4 linked regions of the Anolis sagrei genome follow. The protein of the gene in region 3 purifies or fractionates together with the protein of the main gene of each other region. This does not show direct contact. Links are inferred from orthologs where the notes say so. Each region holds a gene or a part of one and is shown on either strand. Other genes may lie near its edges. The genes, in order: NCL, FBXW7, HSF1 and BAG3.

The links.
Region 1: the proteins of HSF1 (region 3) and NCL purify together in Homo sapiens (affinity purification with mass spectrometry; 3 studies listed by BioGRID, with this or other methods). This does not show direct contact. The link is inferred for Anolis sagrei from reciprocal best matches to the Homo sapiens genes HSF1 and NCL.
Region 2: the proteins of HSF1 (region 3) and FBXW7 purify together in Homo sapiens (affinity purification with western blotting; 4 studies listed by BioGRID, with this or other methods). This does not show direct contact. The link is inferred for Anolis sagrei from reciprocal best matches to the Homo sapiens genes HSF1 and FBXW7.
Region 4: the proteins of HSF1 (region 3) and BAG3 purify together in Homo sapiens (affinity purification with mass spectrometry; 3 studies listed by BioGRID and IntAct, with this or other methods). This does not show direct contact. The link is inferred for Anolis sagrei from reciprocal best matches to the Homo sapiens genes HSF1 and BAG3.

What each region holds. Positions count from the first base shown.
Region 1 is NC_090023.1:267,120,594-267,127,940, reverse strand, and holds the start of NCL (nucleolin), read right to left. Parts: upstream 3,018-7,347; 5' UTR 2,877-3,017; coding exon 2,859-2,876; intron 1-2,858. UniProt on the Homo sapiens protein: Nucleolin is the major nucleolar protein of growing eukaryotic cells. It is found associated with intranucleolar chromatin and pre-ribosomal particles. It induces chromatin decondensation by binding to histone H1.
Region 2 is NC_090025.1:50,919,885-50,927,351, forward strand, and holds the start of FBXW7 (F-box/WD repeat-containing protein 7), read right to left. Parts: upstream 3,002-7,467; 5' UTR 2,380-3,001; intron 1-2,379. UniProt on the Homo sapiens protein: Substrate recognition component of a SCF (SKP1-CUL1-F-box protein) E3 ubiquitin-protein ligase complex which mediates the ubiquitination and subsequent proteasomal degradation of target proteins.
Region 3 is NC_090024.1:2,717,710-2,725,533, reverse strand, and holds the start of HSF1 (heat shock factor protein 1), read right to left. Parts: upstream 3,018-7,824; 5' UTR 2,821-3,017; coding exon 2,701-2,820; intron 1-2,700. UniProt on the Homo sapiens protein: Functions as a stress-inducible and DNA-binding transcription factor that plays a central role in the transcriptional activation of the heat shock response (HSR), leading to the expression of a large class of molecular chaperones, heat shock proteins (HSPs), that protect cells from cellular insult damage.
Region 4 is NC_090023.1:202,041,428-202,048,954, forward strand, and holds the start of BAG3 (BAG family molecular chaperone regulator 3), read right to left. Parts: upstream 3,006-7,527; 5' UTR 2,704-3,005; coding exon 2,512-2,703; intron 1-2,511. UniProt on the Homo sapiens protein: Co-chaperone and adapter protein that connects different classes of molecular chaperones including heat shock proteins 70 (HSP70s), e.g. HSPA1A/HSP70 or HSPA8/HSC70, and small heat shock proteins (sHSPs), e.g. HSPB8.

The sequences.
Region 1 (7,347 bases), on a different chromosome or scaffold from region 3:
TGGGGTCCCTTCCAAGGAATATAAAGGCCAATTAATACAGGCCAAAGGTTGTAAAGGTTGAAATTGCCATGCAATGCAAAGTTTATAATTTTCTGCATGGCAAAAGGGGGTTAGACTGGATGGTCTTTGGGGATCCCTTCTAAGGAATATAAAGATATTCCTATTTAGATACAGTTAAAATGTTTAAAATAAATAAATAAATGGCAATTAATACAGGCCAACACAGTACAATATAATACTAAAAATTTCCTACATGGCAGAAGGGGGTTGGAGTGGATGGCCTTTGGGGGTCACTTCCAAGGAATATAAAGAGCAATTAATACAGGCCAACACAATACGATACTACAATTCCCTGTATGGCAGAAGGGGGTTGGATTAGATGGCCTTTGGGGGTCCCTTACAAGGATTAGAAAGTACTATCAATACAGTCCAACAAAGTATGATACAATGCAATAAAATAATATGAAAAGGTTGTGATTCCCTGTATGGCAGAAGGGGATTGGAGTGGATGGCCTTTAGGGGTCCTTCCAAGGAATATAAAGGGCAATCAATACAGGCCAACATGGTACAATACAATGGTTCAAATTCCCTGCATGGCAGAAAGGGGTTGGTCTGGATGATCTTTGGGGGTCCCTTCCAAGGTTTAGAAAGTGCAATGCAATACATAAATTTCGCACATGGCAGAAGGGGATTAGACTGGATGTCCTTGGGGGGGAGGGGGTCCCTTCCAAGGATTAGAAACCATTATCAAGGCAGGCCAACACAGTACAATACAATGCAAAGGTTCCAATTTCCTGCAAGGCAGAAGGGGGTTGGACTGGATGGCCTTTAGGGATCCCTTCCAAGGAATATAAAGGGTAATCAACACAGTACAATATGATATAATAATACTACAATTCCCTGTATGGCAGAAAAGGGTTGGACTGGATGGCCTTTGGGGGTCCCTTACAAGGATTAGAAAGTACTATCAATATGAAATGGCTATAATTCCCTGCATGGCAGAAGGGGGTTGGACTGGATGGCCTTTAGGGTCCCTTCCAAGAATTAGAAAATACAATACAATACCATGAAAAGGCTGTAATTCCCTGCATGGCTGAAAGGGTTGGACTGGATGGCCTTTAGGGTCCCTTCCAAGGAATATAAAGGGTAATCAACACAGTACAATATAATAAAACACTAAAATTCCCTGTATGGCAGAAGGGGTTGGACTGGATGGCCTTTGGGGGCCCCTTCCATGAAATATAAAGAGCAATTAATATAGGCCAACACAGTACAATACAATATAATACTACAATTCCCTGCATGGCAGAAGGGGGTTGGATTGAATGGCCTTTGGGGGGTCTCTTCCAAGGAATATAAAGAGCAATTAAATCAGACCAACAAAGTACAATACAATATAATACTACAATTCCCTGCATGGCAGAAGGGGATTCGACTGGATGGCCTTTGGGGGTCCCTTCCAAGGATTAGAAAGTACTATCAATACAATAATATTAAAAGGCTATAATTCCCTGCATGGCAGAAGGGGGTTGGACTGAATAGCCTTGGGGGTCCTTTACAAGGATTAGAAAGTATTATCAATATAACATGAAAAGGTTGTAATTCCCAGCATGGCAGAAGGGGGTTGGACTGGTGGCCTTTAGGGATCCCTTCCAAGGAATATAAAGAGCAATTAATACAGGCCAACACAGTACAATACAATACAATTCCCTGTATAGCAGAAGGGGGTTGGACTGTACGACCTTTAGGGGTCCCTCACAAGGATTAGAAAGTACTATCAATACAGTCCAACAAAGTACAATACAACACAACAATATGAAAAGGTTGTGATTCCCTGCATGGCAGGAGGGGTTGGACTGGATGGCTTTTGGGGGGCCCCTTCCAAAGAATATAAAGAGCAATTAATACAGGCCAACACAGTACACTACAATATCAATACAATATGAAAAGGCTATAATTCCCTGCATGGCAGGAGAGGGTTGGATTGGATGGCCTTTGGGGGTCCCTTCCAAGGAATATAAAGGCCAACACAGTACAATATAATGCAAAGGTTTGTTTACATTCCCTGCATGGCAGAATTACAGGTTGGACTGGAGGGTCTTTTTAAGGGGTCTCTTTTTCTTTTGAGCAAAACCCAAAAAGGGGGTTGGACTGGATGGCCTTTAGGGGTCCCTTCCAAGGAATATAAAGGCCAACACAGTACAATATAATGCAAAGGTTTGTGTACATTCCCTGCATGGCAGAATTACAGGTTGGACTGGAGGGTCTTTTTAAGGGTCCCTTTTTCTTTTGAGCAGAACGCGAAAACCACGTGGAAGCCCCGGAAGCGAGGCCTAGGCTGAGCATTTCCTCTCCTTCCTTCCTTCCATCACCCACGTGGTTTGAGATCACGTGGCTTCGGGAGAGCAGGCGGGAGAGGGAGAGTGCGCGCGCACACCGCTCCTTGCTCGCTCCTCTTTCCTCCCAGCCCCTCCCCTCTCCGTTGGCTGCGCGCGCCGCTCAACACAGAGAAAAGGGGGAAAAAAAGAAAGAGCGCGGGCGCCTAGAAACTCCTGCGCGTATGCGCGCGCGCTCGCTCTTTTCCTTTTAGAAGAAAAAAAAGGGGGGAGTCCTAGAAACCGCCGAGCGTTCTATTTCGATCTGCGCCTGCGCGCCAAAATAAATAAATAAGTAGTAGGAAAAGGGAGAAGGGGAGTCTTGAAACTGCTGCCTCCTCGCTTGTGTAGAAGCGAAGGAACGGGAGGCCTTGAAACTGCTGCGCACGCGCACAAGGCCTACTAAAAAAAAACCCTTTCCCCCCTTCATTCGTTGGGTTTCCTTCCATTCTAAATGAGTGAGGCTAGGCCTCAAAGCCTCACCTTGGCGAGTTTCACCATGATGGCGGCGCTGGGAGATGCCCGGATGTGGAGCGAGGCCTACAAGGAGAGAGAGAAAGAAGGGACCGCCGCGCTCTCCAGTCTCCGCCAAAAGCGAAAAGAGCGAGGTCGAGGGCTCGCCGCGCTCTCCCTCACGCCCCACGCTGCCGCCTCAGCCAATGGGAGACCGCGCAGCCCCAAGCTCCGCCCACTCCGGGCTTTCCCCCACACCAATCCCGCGTCGACTCGCTCCGCCCAATCAGACACCGCCCCTGAACTCGAGGGCGGGACGACACGTCGCCGAGCCAATAAGATGACAAAACTGGGAATTCTACGCTTCCTGATAGGTCCGTTTCGCAGAGACGGAAGTGGTAAGGAGAACACGTGGCGGCGCCCTCTGCCTGCAACCGCGTGGGGTCGGCCCATTTTGTGGCTCTGGATCCGGTTTGTTCTTGTGTGTCTGTAAGCCAGGCATGGGCAAGCTTGGGCCCTCCAGGTGTTTTGAACTCCAACTCCCACAATTTCTAACAGGCACAATTCCTAACAGCCCTCCAGGTGTTTTGGACCCCAACTCCCACCATTCCTAACAGCACTCTAGATGTTTTGGACCCCACCATTCCTAACAGTACTCTAGGTGTTTTGGACTCCAACTCCCACAATTCCTAACAGCCCTCCAGGTGTTTTGGACCCCACCATTCCTAACAGTACTCTAGGTGTTTTGGACCCCACCATTCCTAACAGCACTCTAGGTGTTTTGGACTCCAACTCCCACAATTCCTAACAGCCCTCCAGGTGTTTTGGACTCCAGTTCCCACCATTCCTAACAGCCCTCCAGGTGTTTTGGACTCTTAAACCCCACTATTCCTAACAGTCACAATTCCTAACAGCCCTCTAGGTGTTTTGGACTCCCACCTCCCTCCATTCCGAACAATCCTCCAGGTGTTTTGGACTCCAACTCCCACAATTTGTAACAGCCACAATTCCTAACGGCCCTCAAGGTGTTTTGGACTCCAACTCCTACCATTCCTAACAGCCCTCCAGGTGTTTTGGACTCCAACCCCCACAGTTCCTAACAGCCACAATTCCTAACAGTTCTCCAGGTGTTTTGGACTCCAGCTCCCACCATTCCTAACTCCCACAATTCCTAACAGCCCTCCAGGTGTTTTGGACTCCAACTCCCACAATTCCTAACAGCCCTCCAGGTGTTTTGGACTCTTAAAGCCCACTATTCCTAACAGCCACAATTCCTAACAGCCCTCCAGGTGTTTTGGACTCTTAAAGCCCACTATTCCTAACAGCCACAATTCCTAACAGCCCTCCAGGTATTTTGGACTCCAACTCCACATTTCCTAACAGCCCTCCAGGTGTTTTGGACTCTTAAAGCCCACTATTCCTAACAGCCACAATTCCTAACAGCCCTCCAGGTATTTTGGACTCCAACTCCCACATTTCCTAACAGCCCTCCAGGTGTTTTGGACTCTTAAAGCCCACTATTCCTAACAGCCACAATTCCTAACACCCCTCCAGGTGTTTTGGACTCCAACTCCCACCATTCCTAACAGCCACAATTCATAACAACCCCCCAGGTGTTTTGGACTCCAGCTCCCACAATTTGTAACAGCCACAATTCTAACAGCCCTCCAGGTTGTTACCTCACTACCTCTGAGGATGCTTGCCAAAGTGCAGGCGAAACCTCAGGAGAGAATACCTCTAGATCAGGGGTCCTCATACTTTTTAAAAAGTGGGCCAGATCACAATACCTCAAATTGTTGGAGGGCCTAACATGAATGAATATTATGCACGCAGCACATATTTTATTTGTAGTGCAAAAAACTACAATAATTAAAATGAAGAACAATTTTAACAAATATAAACTTATTAATATTTCAATGGGAAGTGTGGGCCTGCTTTTGGCTGATGAAATAGGATTGTTGTTGTTGTTGTGTGCTTTCAAGTAGTTTCAGACTTAGGTTGACCCTGAGCGAGGGCCGAGTAAATGACCTTGGAGGGCCACATCCGGCCCCCGGGCCTTAGTTTGAAGACCTCTGCTCTAGACCATGGCCATACAGCCCAAAAAAAACTACAACCCAGCCCTCCAGGTGTTTTGGACTCCAACGCCCACTATTCCTAACAGCCACCATTCCTAACAGCCCTCCAGGTGTTTTGGACTCCAGCTCCCACCATTCCTAACAGCCAGTAGGCTGTTAGGAATGGTGAGAGTTGGAGTCCAAAACACCTGGAGGGCTGTTAGGAATGGTGGGAGTTGAAATCCACAACACCTGGAGGGCCCAAGTTTGCCCATGCCTGTTCTAAGCCCTTCCACACAGAATATCATGGCAGACCATCCACAATATCTGCTTTGAACAGATATTGTGGATATAATCTGGTTCAAAGCAGATAATGTGGGATTTTATTCAGCTGTGTGGAAAGGTCCTCTGAATGTCAATATCAGTTTTAGCCTATAAAGCCTAATTTACAAAATTTAGCCTATAAATATCCATATCAATTTTAGCCTATAGAGCCCTAAATGGTTCTGGCCCAACTTACATGTCCGAATGCATCTACCATTATGAATCATCTAGGACCTTAAGATCGTCTGGGGAGGCCCTGCTCTCGTTACCGCCTTCGTCACAAGTACCTTTGGCGGAGACAAGAGACAGGGCCTTTTCGGTGGTGGCTCTTTGGCTGATGAACACTCTCCCTATAGATATTAGATCGGCCACTTCCATTTTAACATTCTGGAGAAAAGTCAACAAGCGTTTGCAATTACAGAGTAACTGACATAGGACAATGGAACGACTGGAACGACAAGCTGGAATGTGTCCAGAGGAGGGTGACTAAAATGATCAAGGGTCTGGAGAACAAGCCCTATGAGGAGCGGCCTAAAGAGCTGGGCATTTTTAGCCTGCAGAAAAGAAGGCTGAGAGGAGACATGATAGCCATGAGAGGAAGTCCTAGGGAGGAGGTAGCAAGCTTGTTTTCTGCTGCCCTGGAGACTAGGATGCAATGGAACAATGGCTTCAAACTACAAGAGAGGAGATTCCATCTGAACATGAGGAAGAACTTCCTGACTGTGAGAGCTGTTCAGCAGTGGAACTCTCTGCTCTGGAGTGTGGTGGAGGCTCCTTCTTTGGAAGCTTTTAAACAGAGGCTGGATGGCCATCTGTCAGGGGTGATTTGAATGCAATATTCCTGCTTCTTGGCAGAATGGGGTTGGAGTGGATGGCCCATGAGGTCTCTTCCAACTCTTTGATTCTATGAAAGGAGATTCCATCTGAACATGAGGAAGAACTTCCTGACGGCGAGAGCTGTTCAGCAGTGGAACTCTCTGCCCAGAGTGTGGTGGAGGCTTCTTCTTTGGAAGCTTATAAACAGAGGTTGGATGGCCATCTGTCAGGAGTGCTTTGAATGCAATATTCCTGCTTCTTGGCAGAATGGGGTTGGACTGGATGGCCCAAGAGGTCTCTTCCAACTCTAGGATTCTATGACTAGACAATGAGTCCGGACAACATTTTTAACAAGGAGACACTATGAATTTATATTTTATTGATTTGTTTAGTTTTTGTTATATGTTATGTTTTTAAATTGTATTTAAGACATTGTAAGCATTGAATTTTGCCCTGTTAACTGCCTTGAGTCGCCTATGGCCTGAGAAAGGTGTATACAAACAACAAATAAACAAATCCACAATATCTGCTTTGATCTGGGTTATCTGGCAGTGTAGACTCACACAGCCATACGACCCAGAATATCAAGTCAGATAATGAATGAATGCAACTTAATTTCTATCCTGCCCTGTTTATCTCCGCAGCGGGGACTCAGGGCGGCTTAAAACATAGGCCCCTTTCATGCATCTGAATAGAACCCCACATTTTCTGTTTTGAACGGGATTATATGGCAGTATGGATTCAGCCCAATTCAAAGCAGATATTGTGGGGTTTTCTGTTTTGATATTCTGGGTTATATGGCTGTGTGGAAGGGCCCAGAGTCCACATTGCCTGATAATCCAGTTCAATGTGGATTTTACACAATTGCAGGTGTTGATTTCCAAATTTGGCTTCTTTCTGTGCTTCGGAATGGATTTTCATATCTGTTGGAAGACTGATACTTGAACATCAAATCCAGATTATCTGCTTTGGAATGGTGTATCGGTCATATAATCCAGCTTGAAGCACATAATGTGGGTGATCTGCTTATATGGCAGTGTAGATCCAGCCCAATGTTCCTACTACATTGTCCTTATATCCTAGGATCTGATCCCAGGTTGTCTGCTTTGAACTGGATTATATGCGGTCCCTTCCACAGAGCTGTATAAATCCACATTGAACTGGATTATGTTGCAATGTGGACTCAGATAACCCAGTTCAAAGCAGGTATTGTGGATTATCTACCTTGATATTCTGGGTTATATGGCTGTGTGGAAGGGCCCAAAGTATCCACTGCCATATAATCTGGGATATTTATTTTTATTTCAAATATGTGTACCCTGCCC
Region 2 (7,467 bases), on a different chromosome or scaffold from region 3:
ACTTTCTGTTGCTGAGAAAAGGAAAGGGGGGGGAGAGAAAGAGACAGACTCTGGTAACAAATACTATGTCCGAGCTCATTTGATTGGCTCTCTGGACCAGTTCTCTTCTCATTAAACTACCCAACAAAGCCATTTAAAGAACCCTCAAGACACACCAATGGTTTCCGCCTGACCCCAAAGAGACAAGGGAAGGGAGGGGAAAGAGAGAGAGAGATTTCCCGGCTGAAAGGGAGGGTCACTTAGCGCAGCAGACCGTGCAGAGAACCCTGCAACGTGAGGCGCATATGAAACAAGAGGCAGAGGCCCCCATCTACACTGACCATTTAATGCAATCCGAAGCTAACTTCAAACTGCAAGGGATAGGCAAGAAACTTCCATGTAAGCACGTGAAAGAAAACCCTTCATGTGGTTGGTGGAATCACTATCCAGGCCCCAAACGGGTTCCCGGATTTTCTATGGAATAATCTGCACAGTGAAACCACTTTCTTCTACATTCATTTGAAATGGCATTAAAGGGTAAATGGGGACTTTAGTCTATTTTGCATGAAGGGGTTAGAAAACTGTATGTATCAAAGATTTGAAATTGCTGGATAAATTAAACTCCAAACAAACACACTAAGAGTTCTTGCAGAGTGCTCCTCTTATTCAGAACTTTACCTGCATGATTCTTCATACAAGAGGTCAGAGAAAACACCCATTTAACTTTAGAACACACATTTAAGTGAATAAAATGGAAGCTGAAACTGCAAGGACCTGGAGAACTTCCAGTCTTCCATCTGAAGTGCTTAAGGTTGCTTAGCAGGGCAGCCCCCTCCTCTCCCTACCCCACAAAAGAGGAGGAAGACAAAAATGGTGGGGGAGGGGAGAGAGGAAAAAAGAGAGGAAGAGAAGAAAGAGGAGAAGACAGAAGAGAAGAAAGCGAAAGAATGGGGTTTTAATCTATTGAATGTTTTTATTTTTTTGTTAGATGCTAATTAAGTTTGATGTGGGTTTTTTATAATTTTTGATTATGCTCATGTTGGTACTGATTATTTTTATGGTATGTTACGTCTTTGCTTTTTATTTGTTGTTCGCCGCTTTGAGTCCCAATTTGGGAGCAAAGCAGGATAGAAATAAATAATAATAAAGAAGAGGAAGAGAATGAAGAATAAGAGGAGAATAAAGAGAAAAAGGATGGGGAGGAAGGAAGTGAAGGGGGAGGAGGTAGAGGAAGAGAAAAAAGAAGAGGAAGAAATGGAGGTAGAGTAGAAGAAAGAGAAAAAGGACAAGAAGAAAGAGGAGGAGGAAGAAGTGGAAAAAAATGAGAAAGAAAATGAAGAGGGAGGAGGAAGAGAAGAAAGAAGAATGAAGAAGAGGAGAATAAAGAGAAAAAAGAGGGGAGGAAGGAAATGATGGGGAGGAGGTAGAGGAAGAGAAGAAAGATGGTGAAGAGGAAGAGAAGGAGGAAGAGAAAAAAGAAGAGAAAGAAAATGAAGGGGGGAGGTAGAATAGAAGAAAGAAAAAGGACAAGGAGAAAAAGAGGAGGAGGAAAAGAAAAAAGACGAGAAAGAAAATGAAGAGGGAGGAGGAAGAGAAGAAAGAAGAATGAAGAAGAGGAGAATAAAGAGAAAAAGGATGGGGAGGAAGGAAATGATGGGGGAGGGGGTAGAGGAAGAGAAGAAAGATGGTGAAGAAGAAGAGAAGGAGGAAGAGAAAAAGTAGAGGAAGAAAATGAAGGGGGAGGTAGAGTAGAAGAAAGAGAAAAGGGACGAAAAGAAAGAGGAGGAGGAAAAAAGATGAGAGAAAATGAAGGGGGGGGAGGAAGCGAAAGAAGAAAAATTAGAAACAAAATGAAGGGGGGATGCTAAGGAGAAGCAAGAGAAAAGGGATGAGGAGGAGGAAAACGAGGAAGAGAAGAAATAAGAGGAGGGGTGAAAAAAGAGGAGTGAGAAAATGAAGGAGGAGGGAGAAAGAAGGGAAAGGGAAAGAGGATAAGAAAGAAGGGAAAGGGGAAGAGGATAAGAAAAAAGAGAACGAGGAAGAAAATGAAGGGGGTAGAGGAAGAGAAGAGAAAAGGAACGAGAAGAAGAGGAGGAAGACAAAAAAGACGAGGAGAATGAAAATGATGGAAGGGGGTAGAGGAGAAAGAGAAGGAAGAAGGAAGAGGAAGAGAAGAAAGAGGAGGAAGAAAGAAAAAGAGGAAGAGAGAAAAACGACGACGAGGAAGAGAATGAAGGGGAGGAGGTAGAGGAAGAGAAGAAAGAAGGGGAGGAGGAAGAGGAGGAGGAAAAGGAAGAGGAGGAGGCGAGTGTCCACCCCACGTGCACCTCCTGGAAGGTCGAAAACAGCCACCGGGAACACTCCCCTTCCCTTCCACATCCCTTTCTCAGAATTACTCACTTCGGGAGCGAGAGCAGCAGCAGCAGCAGCAGGACCGGCGACGCCCGGCGGTCTTTCCTGCTGGGCCCGAGAAGGAGCTTCACGCCCAGACCTGCGGGGATCCGGAGGCTTGGAGGCGCCCAGGACGGGTCCCTCGGAGGCCCTCCTCCTCCTCCTGTTCGGCTTCCCTGGCTGGGCGTGTGGCCGCCGCCGCCTCCTGTTCCCACGCCGCCTGGGCCGCCCGCGCCCGCCCCCTCTGCCCCGAGAGCGCTGCCCGCCGCTTCCCCCCGCGGGAGGCGGAGGAGGAGGCGGCGGTGGCGGCGAGAGGGTCGGGCCGCGGCCCCCGCCCGGCTCTGGCTCTCATAAACCCTCTCCTCGGGCGCTGCTAGGGCCCCAGCCAGGCGGAGGCAGCGCGGAAGCGGAGCCCGGCGGCGGCGGCTAGGCTCAGCGGCGCTCCCGCCCGGCTCCCAGGCATGAGGGTGACTGGGTCTCGCCCGAAGAGAGGCAGCGAGGAAGGAAGGAAGCAAGGAAGCCGGCGGGTGGCTCCGGAGACGCTCGCTTTCTCTCCCTCGCGCACCACAGAGACACAGGCAGCGAGGGCGCTGAGGGAGGGGAAAAGACAAGGCACGGCGCGGGGAAATGACGCCAGCCGTAACCAGGCAACCGCAGCCCTCTCCGCCCGCCTCCTGTTTCCGTCGCGAGGCGGTGACGTCGAGGGTTTTGCGACGGCTGTGCAGCGTCTCTATGGAATGTATGGAGAAGAGATGAAAACGCCGCCGTGAAGCGATTGGAAGAGGCCAACGCGGCGAGCCAATCCCGTCGCAAGGACTTGCGCAGGCGCAGTCGGGGATTTGGACTCTGGAAATATTAACCCCTTCCGCGCCTGCGCGTTCCCCTCGGTAGGCGAACGCGGTTGATTCGATTATAGCGATTCCCAGAATAGTCCTCCAGGTCGGTGGACTTCAACTCCCAGAAGCCTCAGCTGCCTTGGTCGATGATCAGGGATTCTGGGGGATGAAGTTCAGAATTCCTGGAAGGCTAGAGTTTAGGAAATACACTTTCCTAGGATCCCCCCCCCCCCTTAATTCGATCAGACAATTAAGGCCTCTTCCACACAACAAGTTGAATAGGTTGGGTGAGAGTATACAGCCCTGATGAACGCCTTTCCCAATCTTGAACCAGTCTGTTGTTCCATGGTCAGTTCGTACTGTTGCTACTTGGTCATCAAACATTCCTCAGGAGACAGGGAGGGATAGTCATTCTTAAAAGTACATTTCCAAGCTCTCTAATAATGCTCTTTTCTCATGCTGTTCTTTTCAGTCACACCATATGTTCTTCAAAGGGCCCTTCCACACAGCCCTATATCCCAGAATATCAAGGCACAATATCTGCTTTGAGCTGGGTTATCTGAGTCCACACTCAGATAGTGTGGAATTTTATGCCTTAATATTCTGAGATATAGGGCTGTGTGGAAGGGCCCTTAGAAGAACATATGATGTGGCTGAAGAGAACAGCATGAGAAAAGAGCATTATTAGAGAACTTGGGAAGTTACTTTTAAAAATGACTGTCCCTCCCTGTCTCCTGAAGAATCTGTATAAGGACCAAGTAGCAACAGTACGAACTGACCATGGAACAACAGATTGGGAAAGGCGTACGGCAGGGTTGTATACTCTCACCCAACCTATTCAACTTGCATGCAGAACACATCATGCAATGTGCAGGGCTTGAAGAATGCAAGGCTGGGGTTAAAATTGCTGGAAGAAGCATTAACTACCTTAGATATGCAGATGACACCACTTTGATGGCTGAAAGCGTGGAGGAGTTGAGCCTTCTAACCAAGGTGAAATAAGAAAGTGCAAAAGCTTAGTTGCAGTTAAACATTAAAAAAAACAAGATTATGGCAACAAGACTGATTGATAACTGGCAAATAGAGGGAGAAAACGTGGAGGCAGTGAAAGACTTTGTATTTCTAGGGGCAAAGATTACTACAGACGCAGAGTGCTGCCAGGAGAACAGAAGACCTTTATTTCTTGGAAGGAGAGCAATGACCAATCTCAATAAAATAGTGAAGAGTAGAGACATCACACTGGCAACAAAGGTCTGCATAGTTAAAGCAATGATAGTAACCTACAGATGTGAGAGTTAGACCATAAGGAAGGCCGAGCAAAGGAAGATTGATGCTTTTGAACTGTGGTGTTAGAGGAAAGTTCTGAGAGTGCCTTGGACCGCAAGAAGATCCAACCAGTCCATAATTCAGGAAATAAAACCCCTCTGTTCACTGGAGAGAAGGATATTAGAGGCAAACATGAAGTATTTTGGCCACATCATGAGAAGACAGGAAAACTTAGAGAAGACAATGATGCTGGAGAAAATGGAAGGCAAAAGGAAGAGTAGCCAACCAAGGGTAAGATGGATGGCTGGTATCCTTGAAGTGACTGGCTTGACTCTGAAGGAGCTGGGGGTTGTGACAGCCGAGAGGGGGTTCTGCCATGGGCTGGTTCATAAGGTCACAAAGAGTCGGAAGCAATTGAACAAATAAACAACAACAATCCCTCACTGAGCAGTGGTGGGATGATGGCTACATAGAATTAATGCAGTTTGAGACCTTTTTTGTTTCCATAGGTCAATACTATGGGATCATGGGAGTTGTAGTTTTCAAAGTAATTTGGAAAGGATCCCCTCGGGGAGCTAGGGTGGGATATAATTAAAGTTATTTATTTATTACTTGTGCCTTTTTGCTAACAGAAAGCATTACACCCCCCCAGAGGTCAGACTTAGTTGATCTATTCCAGTTCCCTATTCCTCTCTTATTGAACTCCTCCTTTCTCTACAGACACTAGAGGCTTGGGGCATTGTCTGGTAATCCTAGGCCAAGCAATCAATAAAAAGACATTCTTAGCACCTGCATTTAGCAGTATTTTATACCATTAGTCCAAAGGACAACAGAAGCTTTTGGCCAGCCTAAGCTTCACAAGGAAGATTAAGACAGTTTATAACCATCACTTTGCACCAGAGGCAAGAGACTTTCAAAGATTCCAGAAAGATGACTGCAACCAGCAAAATCTCCTTTTGTAATGTATTATGTTACCTTAAACTTAATCACACTAGAGAAAAAATCCACTTAAAATCCTGTTTTTGCCTCCTGCAGAATTCTGAGGTTTGTAGTTTAGGTAAAGTCTCCTCCTTATTATAGTCCTGGGTGGAGTTAATCCTTTATTCATCTTGTTTCAGTAAACTCTTTTGATTATCTTTCCACCTTGCCTAAAGTTCCTCTGCTAAGGGTCTTAATCTTAAAAGAAGGTATCAGCTAACCCCCGAGTAAAGTCAGACAATCTAGTTTTCCCAAATGTTCGGACGTACGATCACAAGGGGAATACTCACTTGGCCAAAGATTAAGCAGGAGATAACCAAGAAAATGCTCCTTATCACTGTCTATGGTTCTTGGAAAGTGCTCTTTTCATCTTGGCAGGTCTGTCTCCCAATTTCAAATATGATCTATTCTAAAACATTACAGAGCCCAGCCAAAAAGGAAAATACCCATGTAATACTGCATGCACCTGTCAGTTAGTGTGAAAGAGATCCTAACAGCTGGGATTTCTGGGAGTTGTAGGCCAAAACACGTGGGGACCCACAGGTTGAGAAGTGCTGGCCTGCTGCTTGGCTCCACAGTAAAGTTTGCCCAATGGAGAGTCATCCTGTGGAGAGGAGAATGTGTTCTCCAAGCACTTATGGAAACTGATTTGTTCCTTCTGCAAAAATGATATACTGTTGTGTCACAGCTCAGCATTTCTGCATGTATTTTTAGACCCTTGGCCTGTTGGGACCAATAATCACACCAAAATGTAAAACTAAGCAAAAATTAGAGTTTATAAAATTTAGCTGAAGACATTACACCAGTAAGGAGAGAAGGATAAAGTAGGTAGAACATAAAGATGGCTGTGGACCTTTGAGGATAACTCTGACTAAAATTCCAAATTTTCAGTTCTTAGGTGAGCTGTTTTTGTTCTGTGGCTGTGAACCAGTTCTGTTTAAAGTGGTATGCAAAGTTATATTTTGGTTGTTTCTGGGTATATTTGACCTGTTGGTTACAAAAATAACACCAGTTTCCTCCCATCCACTCTAGTTTTTGAGATACATAATATATGCCATCTACCAGTCACCATCTGCTCATAGATGGAAAATCACTATAACCGTATCAAAGAAAATAGAGTTGATGTGATCTATCCAATGTAATTTGTTTAATCAGTGCCCAAAATAACCCCAGATGCATGTCTAAAAACTAAGACACCAAGAAAAGTTTTTATTGATCTGTTTATTTTTATAGAAGGGAATCTTGTAGAATCTTATACCTGAGAAGCACTGGGGCATTGCAGGACACCAAAATACCCGGGAGTTACTTTTAGACCATCCTCCAACTTACAAGAAGCACTGTCTAATTATCAAGCAAAAAGTGGTTGCTAGAAATAATATCACACGCAAGCTGACTGGCACAACCTAGTGATCACAACCAGACACATTGAAGACATCTGCCCTTGCACTTTGCTACTCTGCTGCTGAATATGCATGCCCAGTGCGGAATACATCTCACCATGTTAAAACAGTGGATGTGGCTCTCAATGAGACATGCAGCATTATCATAGGATGTCTACGCCCTACACCGCTAGAAAAATTACAATGTTTAGCTGGCATTGCATCACCTGACATCAATCTGGAACTAGCAGCCAGTAATGAAAGAACCAAGGCATTGACATCTCAGGCCCATCCTCTGTTCAGATATCAGCCAGCATATCAATGTCTTAAGTCAAGAAATAGTTGCAGAGCTACTCACAGGAACACCTCAGCAAGCGAGAGTCCAAAAGTGGCAGGTTAAAACCCGGAACCTCAATCAGTGGCTGATATCAGATAAGAAACTCCCTCCTGGGCACACAGAAGACTGGGCGACTTGGAAGGTGCTGGACAGACTGTGCTCTGGCACAATGAGATGCTGAGCCACTCTTAAGAAATGAGGCTATGAAGTGGAATCCCCGACATGTGAGTGTGGAGGAGAGCAAATCACAGACCACTTACTACAATGCAACCTGAGCCCGGCCACATGCACAGTGGAGGAC
Region 3 (7,824 bases):
CTGACCAAAGTAGAACAGAGTGGGATCATGACTTCCCTTGATCCAACTGGTATTTTCAGCTGTATAAATATGTGAAAGGATGTCAAAAGGAAGAGGGAGAAGCTTTGTTTTCTGCTGCCTTGGAAACTAAGATGCTGAGTCATGGGTTCAAATTACAGGAAAGGAAATTCCACCTGAACTTTATTAGAAAGAACTTCCTGACGGCAAGAAGAGCTGTTCAGTAGTGGAACTTTCTGCCTTGGAGTCATGTGGAAGTTTCTTCCTTTTAAGCAGAGGCTGGATGGCCATCTATCAGCAGTGCTTTGATGGTGCTTTTCCTGGATGGCAGAAGGGGGCTGGACTGGGTGGCTCCTATTATTATTATTATTATTATTATTATTATTATTATTATTTAAAAGGCTGGGTGGCCTTTCACTGTGGTGCTTTCAATGTGGGGGTGCTTTCACTGTGCTTTTCCCGCATGGCAGATTGGGTGGCTCCTATTATTATGGTTATTACAAAGGTTGGGTGGCCATCAGTTGGGGGTGCTTTGACTGTGCTTACCACACATAGCAGATGGGGGTTGAACTGGGTGGCTCCTATTATTATTATTATTATTAATAATAATAATATTTCAAAGGCTAGGTGGCCATCTGTTGGGGGTGCTTTGACTGTGCTTACCCTGCATGGCAGATGGGGGGTTGGACTGGGTGGCTTGAAATATATTATTATTTCAAAGGCCGGGTGGCCATGTGTTAGGGGTGCTTTGACTGTGCTTTCCCTGCATGGCAGGATGTTCCTATTATTATTATTATTATTATTATTATTATTATTATTATTTCAATGGTTCGGGGTGCTTTGACTGTGCTTTCCCTGCATAGGAGGAGGGGGTTGGACTGGGTGGCTCCTATTATTATGGTTCTGGCCCAAGCTACCTATCCGAACGTATCTCTGCCTATGAACCCACCAGGACTCTAAGATCTTCGGGGGAGGCCCTGCTCTCGATCCCGCCTGCTTCACAGGTGCGGCTGGTGGGGATGAGAGACAGGGCCTTTTCTGTGGTGGCCCCCCAGCTGTGGAACACCCTTCCTATGGAGGTAATATCAGCCCCCTCGCTGATGGTGTTCTGAAGAAGATTAAAAACTTGGATGTTTGAACGGGCATTCAGATAAACAGTGCAATGAATACGATGAATATAGGAACGGAATTATAGACGACGAGTTGGTTCACGATTCTAGTTACGAGACGTTATTGTGTTGTTATTGATGTGCCATTACTTGTATATTATGCTCTCGTGGTTTTAAATTGTTTACTGCTATTTTGATATGACCGCCTTTTTGCTCTGTTGTGAACTGCGTTCATAGAATCATAGAATCAAAGAGTTGGAAGAGACCTCCTGGGCCATCTAGTCCAACCCCATTCTGCCAAGAAGCAGGAATTTTGCATTCAAATCACCCCTGACAGATGGCCATCCAGCCCCTGTTTAAAAGCCTCCAAAGAAGGAGCCTCCACCACACTCCGGGGCAGAGAGTTCCACTGCTGAACGGCTCTCACAGTCAGGAAGTTCTTCCTCATGTTCAGATAGAATCTCCTCTCTTGTAGTTTGAAGCCATTGTTCCATTGCGTCCTAGTCTCCAAGGAAGCAGAAAACAAGCTTGCTCCCTCCTCCCTGTGGCTTCCTCTCACATATTTATACATGGCTATCATATCTCCTCTCAGCCTTCTCTTCTTCAGGTTAAACATGCCCAGCTCCTTAAGCCGCTCCTCATAGGGCTTGTTCTCCAGACCCTTGATCCTTTGAGTCGCCCTCCTCTGGACACATTCCAGCTTGTCAATATCTCTCTTGAATTGTGGTGCCCAGAATTGGACACAATATTCCAAGTGTGGTCTAACCAAAGCAGAATAAAGCATGGGGAGCATGACTTCCCTAGATCTAGACACTAGGCTCCTATTGATGCAGGCCAAAATCCTGCATCAATAGCCGTTCAGCAGTGGAATTCTCTGCCCCAGAGGGAGTGTGGTGGAGGCTCCTTCTTTGGAGGCTTTTAAACAGAGGCTGGATGGCCATCTGTCTGGGGTGCTTTGAATGCAATATTCCTGCTTCTTGGCAGAATGGGGTTGGACTGGATGATGGCCCAGGAGGTCTCTTCCAACTCTAGGATTCTAGGATTCTTTAATGGGTGGCTCCTTATTATTATTATTATTACAAAGGCTGGGTGGCCATCTGTTAGGAGTGCTTTGACTGTACTTTTCCCTCATGGCAGATTGGGTGGCTGCTATTATTATGGTGATTGCACAGGCAGGAGGGCCACCTGTCGGGAGGGCTTTGGTGGTGCTTCTCCTGCCTGGCAGGGGGTGGGACTGGATGGCCTTGGGGGTCCCTTCCTTCCCTCGGATGCCCGCCCTCCTCCTCCTCCTGGGTGGCTGCTATTATTATGGTGATTGCACAGGCAGGAGGGCCACCTGTCGGGAGGGCTTTGGTGGTGCTTCTCCTGCCTGGCAGGGGGTGGGACTGGATGGCCTTGGGGGTCCCTTCCTTCCCTCGGATGCCCGCCCTCCTCCTCCTCCTCCTGGGTGGCTGCTATTATTTTGGTGATTGCACAGGCTGGAGGGCCACCTGTCGGGAGGGCTTTGGTGGTGCTTCTCCTGCCTGGCAGGGGGTGGGACTGGATGGCCTTGGGGGGTCCCTTCCTTCCTTCCCTCGGATTCCCTCCTCCTCACCGGGCTCCAGCAGATGAGGGCGTCTGTCTCGGGGTCCTCGACGAGGGTCCAGAGCTTGGTGAGGAAGGCCGGCACATTACTGCCCGCCGCTCCGGCCGCGCCCACGCCCGAGGCCTCCATGCCCGGCCCTTCTCCTCGTCCTCCTCCTCCGGAGGCCCTCGCTCCGACTCCCAGCCGGCAAGGCAGGCTCGGCTAGCGGGCCCTCACCAGGCCGGACGCCCTTCTCTGCGCACTCAGCAGCGCCTCAGAAAATCCAGGCATGGCCGCCGCCATCTTGGGGGAATCCTGCGCACGCGCACTTCGCGCATACACGCCCCCCTCAGCAAGGACGGCCCCGCGCGTGCGCAGTGGCTCCCTCGAAGGAGTGCGCACGCGCAGTGCTGCCTGCAAAAAGACCTCAGCAACACAGTTCGCTCTCTCTCATATCCTTTATCTAGAATTTTGCGCATGCGCATCTTTTCTTTTCAAAAAATGGACTACATTTCCCAGAAGGGCGCACCAAAGGCAGCGTTCATAATGCCTGCTGGGAGTTGTAGTCTGAAAAAAACTCAGAAAGCCCCAAGCTATTTTTGTTTACATCGCTTAGAATGCTCTATTTTTGTTTACATTTATTAATTTATTTACTTACTTTACTTATATACCGCCCTTCTCAGCCCGAAGGCAACTCACAGCAATTCACAACAATTAGAACAGCAAAAACAGCAAAAATTCAAGGCCACGGTATAAAAACACATTCAACAACCCGAACATAGTACATAATTAATAAACAATTACTACAGTAACCATTCACTATTCGCTATCATCTCATCATCAGAAACATGATCCAGATTCGTCATCCATTATTCCGTTCCAATGTTCATTAACCAATCATTGCACTAATTATTCGAACGCCTGCACAAACAGCCAGGTCTTCACTTTTTTGCGGAATACCATTAGAGATGGTGCTAGTCTAATGTCCGTAGGAAGGGCGTTCCACAGCCGAGGAGCCACCACCAAGAAAGTCCCCGCCAGCCGTGCTTGAGAATCATAGAATCCTAGAATCCAAGAGTTGGAAGAGACCTCATGGGCCTTTATCCAGTCCAACCCCATTCTGCGAAGAAGCAGGAATATTGCATTCAAATCACCCCTGACAGATGGCCATCCAGCCTCTGCTTCAAAGCTTCCAAAGAAGAAGCCTCCACCAGACTCCGGGGCAGAGAGTTCCACTGCTGAACGGCTCTCCCAGTCAGGAAGTTCTTCCTCGTGTTCAGATGGAATCTCCTCTCTTGTAGTTTGAAGCCATGGGTCCATTGCGTCCTAGTCTCCAGGGCAGCAGAAAGGAAGCTTGCTCCTGATATCGAGCTCTTTTGGGGGGTACTCCCAGCGAGGCGAGTCCCTAAGGACCGCGAATGGGGTCCCGACCTTGGTGAGCTGCCAGCGGATGCCAATTCAAAAAGACGCAAAAACGTTGAAAATCAATCTCACCAGAGGCTGAAGAGGAGATCTGCGACCGAGGCGTTTATTTAGCGATTCAGCTGAAAAGGATGCATTAAAGGGATGAATCCACAATAAGCATGCAGTACAGTGAATTTCAGGCATATTTATACAGAAGAAACAAAGAAATCCTGGTTTGAATCTCCCGCCCGCCTCCTGTCAGTTCCCTCTGTCCTGATTGGCCGGCTCCAGAACAGCTGGGAGGAGGCTTGGCCGCTGGTCCCGCCTTCCCTCCAATCGCCGGCCGCTGTCGCCTCCAGGGGGCCAATCAGAGCCCTCGGAGCGCCTCCGGAGATTGTCCAATCAGCGGCCAGGAGGCGGGATGTATTTTGACAGCGTGGAGGGGCGGAATGCCTGGGAGGCGTCCGCCAGCTGATTGAACACCCTTTGTTGTTTCACGGCAGGGGAGGCAGACGGGGGAACAAGGGATTTCCTGGGTTCCGATAAGAAGATGTGTATAGGCAAAAAGGGTGGCTATGGGTGGTGTCTGGATCTCAACCTTGTGGGCAAAGGGGTCCTTTGTCACAAAGGAGCGTACACAAAACACCTTGATTGATTTAATCAGTCTGTTTTTTCCGGGTTTTTGGCTGGCAAATCTCTGGCTTTGTTCGTCTGACACTGAAAACAAAGCCACAGATGTGACCAGTATTTGTCCATGCAATGTCAATATGAATGGAGTTTTTTCCAAGGAAATTGGATTCCTTACTGTAACCCCAGGTCACGTATCTTTCAATAGGGCAAAGTTCAAGAGGGGAAAAGGCAAGGAAGGAGGGTGAGGGTACATCTCATTTCATTTCATTTCATCATATATCATATACTTCATACATATTTTCTTCATAGGCTTTCATAACTCATAGATTCCATAGGAAAGATCCCCATCCCATCCCAGTAAAGTTTATTAGAAAACCACAGCAATTGATAGAGATAATCAGCAGAGTTCCCGAGGTATGATCCTTTTCAACAAGGGCACGCACACACAGGCGGGGGGCTCTTTCTCCCCAAGCGGCTTGGCTTTGAGTTCATGGAGGAAGTCCGTGATGTTAGGGCACCAAGTCGATCAGAGAGGGCAGAAAGGTCCGCAAAAGAATCTGCAAATAGTGGAGAGTGGGGCAATGTCCTTTGGGGAACTGCATTTCCCTGATCAGGGGCCAGGGTCCAGTGCACAAGCCAGAGAATTCACAGAGAGGAAACAGGAACCCAGTTATGTCCCATCTGGGTCAGGAAGCAGCAGAATCCATTGTCCGGCCCTTGGTGAACTACAAATACTTGGGGGGGGGAAAGATGCTCTGCATCAAATCCTCCCTTCGAGGCTGGGAAATGGTCACACTCATTTCCTCAAGCCTCGACAATCCCCCCCCAAGCACTCAGGGCCTCTTTCTAGACTGATTAGATTGTATTCTGTTGATTATTTCGGGGCCCCACTCAAGCAACAACAGCAGGACCCAGCAGGGTGGGAGAGACCAGTGGCGGAGTGTTCTTTGGGTTGGAGAAAGAAAAAGAGACTGAAGTAAGAAGGTGAAGACGGTGGAGGCAGGGGATGATGGAGCCTGTGATGGCCGTCAGCATGGAGCACTCAGGGGTCCAGAGTGAGTTCCCAATGGAGAAGGATGGCACATGGTGGAATCCTCCCATCTGGCCGTGGTCCTCAGGCCTCCTGGGGGCGCTGGCTCCTCCCTTGGCACTTGGGGGAGGGAGAAGATGGGGCACAGCCTTGCTACTCCTTCTGGCGTGGCGTCTCCTGGTGACCGCAGACCGGTCCGGCTCTCCATCATCACAGAGACTCAGGGATAGTGTCTAGGACAGTCAGAAAGAAGGTTTACAGCCCCCCCCACCCCCCCCCCTTCCCAGCCCAAGGGTAGTTAGTGGGGAAACAAAAGGGAAAAAACTTTCATACCTAGTGGGGGCGTCAGTGGTCTCCTTTGGGCCACCCCTCTGCACAGCTTCTGGAACGGGCAGGGCCTCCTTCCTTCATGGCAGTTGCTGTGGGATCCTGGTTGCTCCTCCTGCGATGGCATTCCCCCGTGGGGGCTCAGATCAGCCTCTAGGAGGGGCTGTCTCTTCTGGGCGGCATGGGGTCTGGTCCTGTTCTCCTGGGATCTTCCTGTGCCATCTGGGTTCCACACAGGAAAGTCCACAGACCTCCCTTGCTCACCTCGCCCAGGTAGTTGTCCTCAGCGGCAGGAGTGGATTATGGGTCCCACAGTTTGATCAGTTGCTCTTTACTGCGCAGAGGGGACCCCTGGACCTCGACGCCCCCTTCATATTTAAGGCAGTTAATGGGATAATCTAGACATACACATACATGCGCTCAGGGAAAGGGGAGGGAGGAAGGGCCAGGAAGGAAAAGAGCATCAGAGGGACTGCGTGTGTGTGAGAGAGAGATTTAACCACAGATGTGGGTGAAATGTCAGGAGGGAATGCTTCTGGAACATCCCTTCCTTAGGTTTTTTGGAGAAGGAGGTAAGAGGGAGCAGCAGGATTCCTCTGGGAGATAGAGGAAAGAATTCACAGAATACTGGCTTCTTAGAGGATGGGAGGGGAGGGAAGAGAGAGAGAGAGAGAGAGAGAAAGGATGGGTTTCAGAGACATTTCACAAGCACATGGAACTCTTTGGTGAGGTCTGGCTCTTAGAGAGAAAAGGGGAAAAGCAGGGAGAGAGAGAGAGAGAGAGAGCCAGAAAACTTTGTTTGGCAAGAGGAAACAGGAACAGAAAAGGTCCCCTCTTACACCTCCCTTTGCGAGAGGAGAAAGGGAGGAGGGGTTTTGAGAGAAAAAAAGGGAAGTTGGGGAGTAAAGAGAGAACAAAGGATAAGGCAGGGACATTGGTGACTGCCCCTGAAAAATGGGTTTTGTAGTTGCACAGAAGAGAAGGGGAGAAAAAGAGAGCTCTTGGGTCAGGGAGACCAGGAGAGAGAGAGACTTTTGCAAGGCAGCTGAGTCACATCAGTGGCAGGGTCTCTCCTGGCGAGGAGAAACACTGTTTATTATAAATAAACAGGCACTGAAGATTCAGCTTGAGAAAGAAGGGATTTTGTAGTAGCTTGGGGGAGAAGGGAATGAGCAATGCCTCCTTTTCCCATCTGAAGGAAGGAAAAAAAGGTGGCACAGGAGAAAGCAGGAGAGGAGGAGAGCAAAGAATTTCCCTAGCGCATTTCCTCAAGGAACAGGGGGGAAAAAAATTTAGGAGGGGCATATGGATGCAGACATTTCATAATAGGGAATAGGGAAATGGAGGGGTTGGAAAGGGAAGGAAGGAGTCAGGGAGATTGGGTAAAGGGAAATGGGAATGGGATGGTAGGGGAACAAGCAATTTTCAAAGGGAGGGGGGAAAGGTCTGGAGGGGGTTTCCTGGGGGTTGGGGCTTTGTCACCTTCCCCTTGCATGGTAGGAGTTGGCCACAACTACCCCCCTTCCACCTCCTCCGGCACATGGCAAAAAAGCATGAGGCAGAGGCGAGTTCGGTCCCCTTGGCCCCCTCACAGCGATCCGACTGCCATGAGGGGCCACGAAACTCCACCTGCTGAGGGCCTGGTGGGCCACCTTTCCATGCGATTTTTTTACCCTACTGGCCTGCGTCAGCGACGCAACCCTGTCCCATTCCGCCAGTACTCTTCCTAAAGGTGTTTCCAATGAGACAGGACGTTTGACCCC
Region 4 (7,527 bases), on a different chromosome or scaffold from region 3:
AGAAGGGAGTGAACAAAGCTTTGCACACACAAAGATACTTTGGGCCATAGGCACACACTCCCCTCACGTACAAACTCACGAAGTCTGCCTCAAGGATCTTGGTCTACTCTCTGAAACCTGTGAGGAGAAATCAGGGTCATGTTTCTCCCAGGCACTCAACTTTGGGGGTCAAAAAATAAATGCCCTATACCCCAGGATCTGATCCCAGGTTTTCTGCTTTAAACCAGCTTATAGGAGTCCGCACTGACAGATAATGTGAGATAAACAGAAAACCTGGGATCAGATCCTGGGATATAGGGCCAGAAGGGCCCGAAGTGGGTTCCCTCAAAACACACACACATCACTGCCCCACGTTTAGTCCTCCCTCCTCAATCTCCTTCACCTTTACCTCCAAAGAAGGCAAGTAAATACACTGAATAGCCAGCCATAAAGGTAAAAAAGGCAAATCACTGAGAGGCTGGCCATGAAGGCAAAAAAGTAACTGAAAGACCTGCCATAAAGGTAAAAAAGGCAAATCACTGAGAGGCCAGCCATGAAGGCAAAGAAGTAACTGAAAGGCCTGCCATAAAGGTAAAAAAGGGCAAGTCACTGAAAAGTCAGGCATGAAGGCAAAGAAATGAAAAACCTGTCATAAAGGTAAAGATACTAAGGTAACTGAAAGGCCAGCTATGAAGGCAAAGAAGGCAAGTAAGCAAAAGGTCAGCCATGAAGTCAGAGAAGAGAAGTAAGTGAAAGGCCAGCCATGAAGGCCAAAAAAAAAAAGTAAAAAAAAGAAGTAAAAAGCCAGCCATTAAGGTAAGAAAAGGCGAGTCACTGAAAGGCCAGCCATAAAGGCAAAGAAGAGAAGTAACTGAAAGGCCAGCCTCGAAGGCAAAGTAAGGCAAGTAATTGAAAAATCTTTCATAAAGGTAAATAAATCAAGTAAGTGAAAGGCAAGTCATGAAGGCAAGGAAGTGAAAGGCCTGTCACAAAGGTAAAGAAATCAGGTAACTGAAGGTCCTTCCACACAGCCTTATATCCCAGGATATCAAGGCAGAAAATCCAACATTATCTGAGTTTGTAGATTCAGATAACGCAGTTCAAAGCAGATATTGTGGTATTTTCTGCCTTAATATTCTGGGATAATAGGGCTGTGTGGAAGGGCCCTGAAAGGCCAGTTATAAAGGCAAAGAAGAGAAGTGAAAGGCCTGTCATAAAGGTAAATAAATCAAGTAAGTGAAAGGCAAAGAAGAGAAGTAACTTAGGGCTCTTCCGCACAGCCCTATATCCCAGGATATCAAGGCAGAAAATTCAATATCTGCTTTGAACTGGGTTATCTGAGTCAACACCGCCATATATTCCAGTTCAAAGCAGGGAATGTGGGATTTTCTACTTTGATATTCTGGGATATAGGGCTGTGCGGAAGGGCCCTGAGAGGCCAGTTATAAAGGCAAATAAGAGAAGTGAAAGGCCTGTCATAAAGGTAAATAAATCAAGTAAGCAAAAGGCAAAGTAACTGAAAGGCCTGTTATAAAGGTAAAGAAGACAAGTGAGGAGGGCCCTTCCACACAGCCTGATATCCCAGAATATCAAGGAAGAAAATCCCACATTATCTGAGTGTGTAGATTCAGATAACGCAGTTCAAATATTCCAGTTCAAAGAAGGGAATGTGGGATTTTCTGCCTTGATATTCTGGAATATATGGCTGTGAGGAAGGGCCCTGAAAAGCCTGTTATAAAGGTAAAGAAGACAAGTGAGGAGGGCCCTTCCACACAGCCCTATATCCCAGGATATCAAGGCAGAAAATCCCACAAATATCTGCTTTGAAGTGGGTTATCCAAGTCCACACTGCCATATATTCCAATTTGAAGCAGATATTGTGGGATTTTCTGCCTTGATATTCTGGGATATAGGGGTGTGGAAGGGCCCTGAAAAGCCAGTTATAAAGGTAAAAAAGACAAGTAAGGACCTAATCACACTAGAGAATGAATCCACTTTAAATCTGGTTGCTTCCTCCTGAAGAATTATGGGATTGGTAGTTTGGGGGGACTCTTTAACAGCCTCACTAAACTACAAACCCCAGAATTCTGCAGGAGGCAGAAACTGGATTTAAAGTGGATTCATTCTCTAGTGTGATGAAGTAGTGAGCGAAAAACCTGTCAAGTAAGTGAAAGGCCAGCCATGAAAGGCAAAGAAGGCAAGTAATTACAATGTACTAAGCAAGGTTCTTTCCCAAATGTCACAACTAATTCCATTCAAGACATAGAAAGGTCAAAGCAAGTTGGGGAGGAGTTGTATGCCAGGGGGAGACTCTGGGGTCATGTTTGGGTTGAGAAGAAGTCGCTACAAAATGACATTTCCCAAAGGAAGTTTCTCTGAGCCTGTTTCCCCGCCTCCCTTTCCCTCTGGTGGAGTTTCCCCACTCAAGGCGAGTCTGGGGCGAAACCCCTTGCCCTTGGAGTCCTCATCGGAGCCTCTTCGCGTCTTTAATAAGGACGGGAAGCCGGCCTGGGGGGAGGTTTGTGTGTGTACCTTGCGGTGGTCGCCCTGCTGCGGCAGCCTGGGGTCGCTCCAGGTGGTGGTGCGGCTGTTGTGGTCCACGAAGAAGGGCCAGCCGGTCTGCGGGTCGATTTTCACCTCCCAACCGGGCGGTAGCGGCTCCCGCTCGCCCGCCCCACCGGCCTCGGTCGGCCGCAACGCCGGGGACTGCGCCGCCGCGCTCATCCTACTGCTGCTGGTGGTGCTGCTGCTGCTACTGTTGCGAGAGCGGCTGTCCCTGCTCCTAGCTCTGCCTCTTCTGCTGCCTCTTCTGCTGCTGCTGCGACTGCGGCGCCTCCTCCTCCTTCGCCAGCCATGCACTGGGCAAGCAAGCGAGGCCGCCCCACCCGCCAAGCCCCTTTATGGCTCGGAGGGAGAGAGAGGGAGGGGACGGCGAAGGGGGTGGAAGGGTCTGGAAATAGCAGAGGAGGAGAAGAGGAGGAGGAGGAGACAGGGGAGGAGGAGCAGCAGCTGCCCGGCTGGAAACTTCTGGGCGCCTCGCCTCACAGCTCCTCCTTGAGTCACGCTCCCGCCACTAGGATTATTGTCACGGCGGCTATTACTCGCCACCCGCCGCTCTCCGCTCCATTATGACGGAGCGCGCCTCCCGGGACCGCCCCCCGCCTCGCCGCTCAAGGAGAAGCCAAGCCTCCCTCTTCCCTCTTGAGCGCCCATGAAGGGGGACGGCGACCCAAAGTCAGGCCGGAGCTGATTTGGTCATTTATCGTGCCAGGAGCGAACCAAACAGTTGAATTGCATTTTAAAAACACACACACACACAAAACCCCCACAAAGTTCGCACACTTGGCATTCTATTATTTGTTATTATTTGAGACACAACAAGATGAGTCCACAGCAGACCATAATAAATAATAGAATGCCAAGTTTGCAAACTTTGTGGGGGGTTTTGTGTTTTTAAAATGCAATACAACTATTTGGTTCGCTCCTTATTTATTATTGTTGTTCATTCGTTCTGTCGTTTCCAACTCTTCGTGACCTCATGGACCAGTCCACGCCAGAGCTCCCTGTCAGCTGTCACTACCCCCAGCTCCTTCAGAGTCAAGCCAGTCACTTCAAGGATGCCATCCATCCATCTTGCCCTTGGTCGGCCCCTCTTCCTTTTTCCTTCCACGGTGGTCCACGCTTTGGTTACATCCCGTTTAGATTACTGCAATGCTCTCTACGTGGGGTTGCCTGTGAAGACTGCCTGGAAGCTCCAACTAGTCCATAGTGCGGCAGCGAGAATGCTAACACGAGCAGGGTACAGGGAGCATACTACTCCTGTTGCGCCAGCTCCACTGGCTGCCAATTAGCTTCCGAGCACAATTCAAAGTGCTGGTGTTAACCTATAAAGCCCTAAACGACTCCGGCCCTGTTTACCTGTCCGAACGTATTCTCCCCTATGAACCATCTAGGTTGTTAAGATCGTCTGGAGGGGCCCTGTTCTCGGTCCCACCAGCCTCTCAGGCGCGTCTGGTCGGGACGAGGGACGAGGGACTTCTCGGTGGTGGCCCCTCGACTCTGGAACTCTCTCCCACTGGAGTTCAGAACTGCCCCCTCCATTCTGTCATCCAGAAAACGGGTGAAAACCTGGCTATGGGGTTTGGCTTTCGATGAGTGAATCAATATTTCTGTGATTGGATAGATGATGATGAATGATGGACAACAAATTCACTATGACGACTGACCATTGTTATTATGTGATTGCATTTTGCTGTTATAACGTTTTAATTGAATATGTTATATGATGTTTTTAATTATTGTTTTGTGATTTTATTGTTGGAAATCGGCCCAAGTCCCCTGATAGAGGGGAGAAGACCGGTATACAAAATTGCTAAATAAATAAATAAATAAATTTTCCCCAGCATCATTATCTTCTCTAAGCTTTCCTTTCTTCTCATGATGTGGCCAAAGTACTTCATCTTGGCCTCTACTATTCTTCCCTCCAATGAGCAGTCTGGCTTTATTTCCTGAAGTATGGACTGGTTGGATCTTCTCACGGTCCAAGGCACTCTCAGAACTTTCCCCCAACAGCACAGTTCAAAAGCATCTATCTTCCTTCACGCTTTCCTAAGGTCCAGCTCTCACATCCATAGGTGACTATGGGGAATACCATTGCTTTAACTATGCAGACCTTCATTGCCAGTGTGATGTCTCTACTCTTCACAATTTTATCGAGATTGGACATTGCTCTCCTCCCAAGAAGTAAGCATCTCCTGATTTCCTGGCTGCAGTCTGCGTCTGCAGTAATCTTTGCACCTAGAAATACAAATTATTTATTATTATTATTAATTATTAACTTTATTTGTACCCCGCTAGCATCTCCCGAAGGACTCGATGCGGCTTACACAGGCCGAAGCCTCAAAACACAATACAATAAAGGACGTAACATCACAATAACAAAGCAAATCAAACAGTAAGCAAAATATCATAACTCCACAATAACTAAGCAAATCAACAGTAAGCAAATAAGCAAATAACGACAATGGCAGAACGTCAGGACATTATTAAAACAGGTTCGGCCGGCGCAATGGGGTACAAGGGTTAAAAGTGCTGAAATGGTAGGAGGCACGTAAGGTTGAAAGTGCAGTGTGCAGCGACAATTTATTATGCTAAGGTGCTACTAGGACTTAGGTGGGGATTTCTAGTCTGGGAAGGCACAACGGAACAGCCAAGTTTTTAAATTCCTTCTGAAAACGGCTAGAGTGGGGGCCTGTCTGAGATCTTTTGGGAGGGCGTTCCAAAGTCTGGGGGCCGCCACAGAAAAGGCCCTGTCCCGCGTCCCCACCAAGCGCGCTTGCGACGTGGGTGGGATCACGAGCAGGGCCTCTCCGGATGACCGTAACGAGCGTGTGGGTTCGTAGATGGTGATGCGGTCACGCAGGTAGGGTGGTCCCGAACCGTTTAGGGCTTTGTAGGTAAGCACCTGCACCTTGAATTGGGCTCGGAAAATAAAAGGCAGCCAGTGGAGCTCCTTAAACAGAGGGGTAGACCTCTCTTGATAATGAGCCCCGGTTAGCATCCTGGCTGCTGCCCGCTGGACCAATTGAAGTTTCCGAGCCGTCTTCAAGGGCAGCCCCACGTAGAGCGCATTGCAGTAATCCATTCTAGAGGTGACCAAGGCGTGGACCACCCCGGCCAGATCAGCCTTCACGAGGTATGGTCGCAGTTGGCGCACAAGTCTCAGTTGCGCAAAGGCCCTCCCGGATACCGCCGACACCTGAGCCTCAAGTGTAAGCGAGGAATCCAAGAGGACACCCAAACTGCGGACCTGTGGCTTCAGGGGGAGTGTAACCCCGTCCAACACAGGTAACCACCCTATACCCCGATCCGGTTTACGATCGACCAGGAGGACCTCTGTCTTGTCGGGATTGATCTTCAGCTTGTTCTTCCTCATCCAGATCGACACAGCGGCCAGGCACTCACCTAGCACCTGAGAAGCCTCCTTGGAATTAGGTGGAAAAGAGTAGTAGAGTTGCGTGTCATCTGCGTAGAGATGGCACCCAACTCCAAAACCCCGGATGACCTCTCCCAGCGGTTTCATGTAGATGTTAAAAAGCATGGGAGACAAAATAGAGCCTTGCGGGACCCCACAGGTCAAAGGCCAGGGGTCAGAGCAGGCATCTCCCAGCTTCACCATCTGAGTTCGTCCCTCCAGGAAGGACTGGAGCCACGACAGAACCGTGCCCCCAAGGCCCATCCCGGAGAGACGACCCAGAAGGATACCATGATCGATGGTATCGAAAGCCGCTGAGATGTCCAAGAGAACCAGCAGAGTCACACTCCCCCTGTCCAGCTCTCTGTGGAGGTCATCCACCAAGGCGACCAAGGCTGTCTCGGTGCCATGACCAGGCCTGAAACCAGACTGTGACTGATCTAGGTAGTTGGTATCGTCTAGGAAACCCTGGAGCTGAGAGGCGACCACCCTCTCCAGCACCTTACCCAAAAAGGGGAGGTTGGAGATCGGCCTGTAGTTATTCAGCACCGAGGAGTCAAGGGAAGCTTTTTTGATAAGTGGGCGAACCACGGCCTGCTTCAGGTTAGATGGAAAAATTCCTTGCTCCAACGATGCATTGATAATCGGTACAAACCAGTCAAGCAACCCCCCTCTGGCTGATTTAATGAGCCAGGATGGGCATGGGTCCAGGGATGAGGTGGTCGCTCTCACAGCCCCAAGGATCTCCTCCACGGTTTCAGGAAGAACAAGCCTAAAAGAATCCCATAAAGTTAGACAAGCAGGTGCCTCCGTCACCTCTTCTGGCACTGCGATGGAATTGGAGTCGAGCTCGAGGCGTATCTGGGCGACTTTATCTGCAAAATGGTGTGCGAAATCGCGACACCGAGCTGTGGGGTCGTCGGGGACCTCCTCCACCGCTGGTGGGTGGAGGAGTTCACCCACGACCCGAAACAGCTCCGATGATCTATTTGCTGCAGATGCTATATGAGCGGTCGTGAATGACTTCCTGGCCGCCCGTATGGCCACGGAGTATGCCTTAAGAGAGGCTCTAGCCCGTGCTCGGTCAGACACGTCTCGAGATTTCCTCCATTTGCGCTCTAGCCCCCTTCTCGTATGCTTCATCACAGCCAACTCCTCGGTGAACCAAGGAGATGGCCTGTCACAATGCAACGAGATGGGGCGTTCGGGTGCGATCGTATCTAACGCCCTGGCCATCTCCCCGTTGTAGAGAGTTACTAAGGCGTCGATAGAATCGCCAGGCTCCAAGGCAGGAAGAACCCTAAGATTCCTCAGGAATCCATCCGGATCCATCAGTCTCCTAGGGCGGACCATCTTAATTTGTCCTCCACCCCTGCGGAGGTTTAGGGTCGCAGTAAGTCTAAATGTGATCAGATGATGGTCAGACCATGACACTGGAAGGATGTTTTGATCTTCCACTCTGATCAATTCGTCGTCCGCCACAAAGACGAGGTCGAGAGTGTGCCCAGCTTGATGCGTGGGGCCAGATATTATCTGTGACAGTCCTATGGCCGTCATGGTGGCCATAAAGTCCT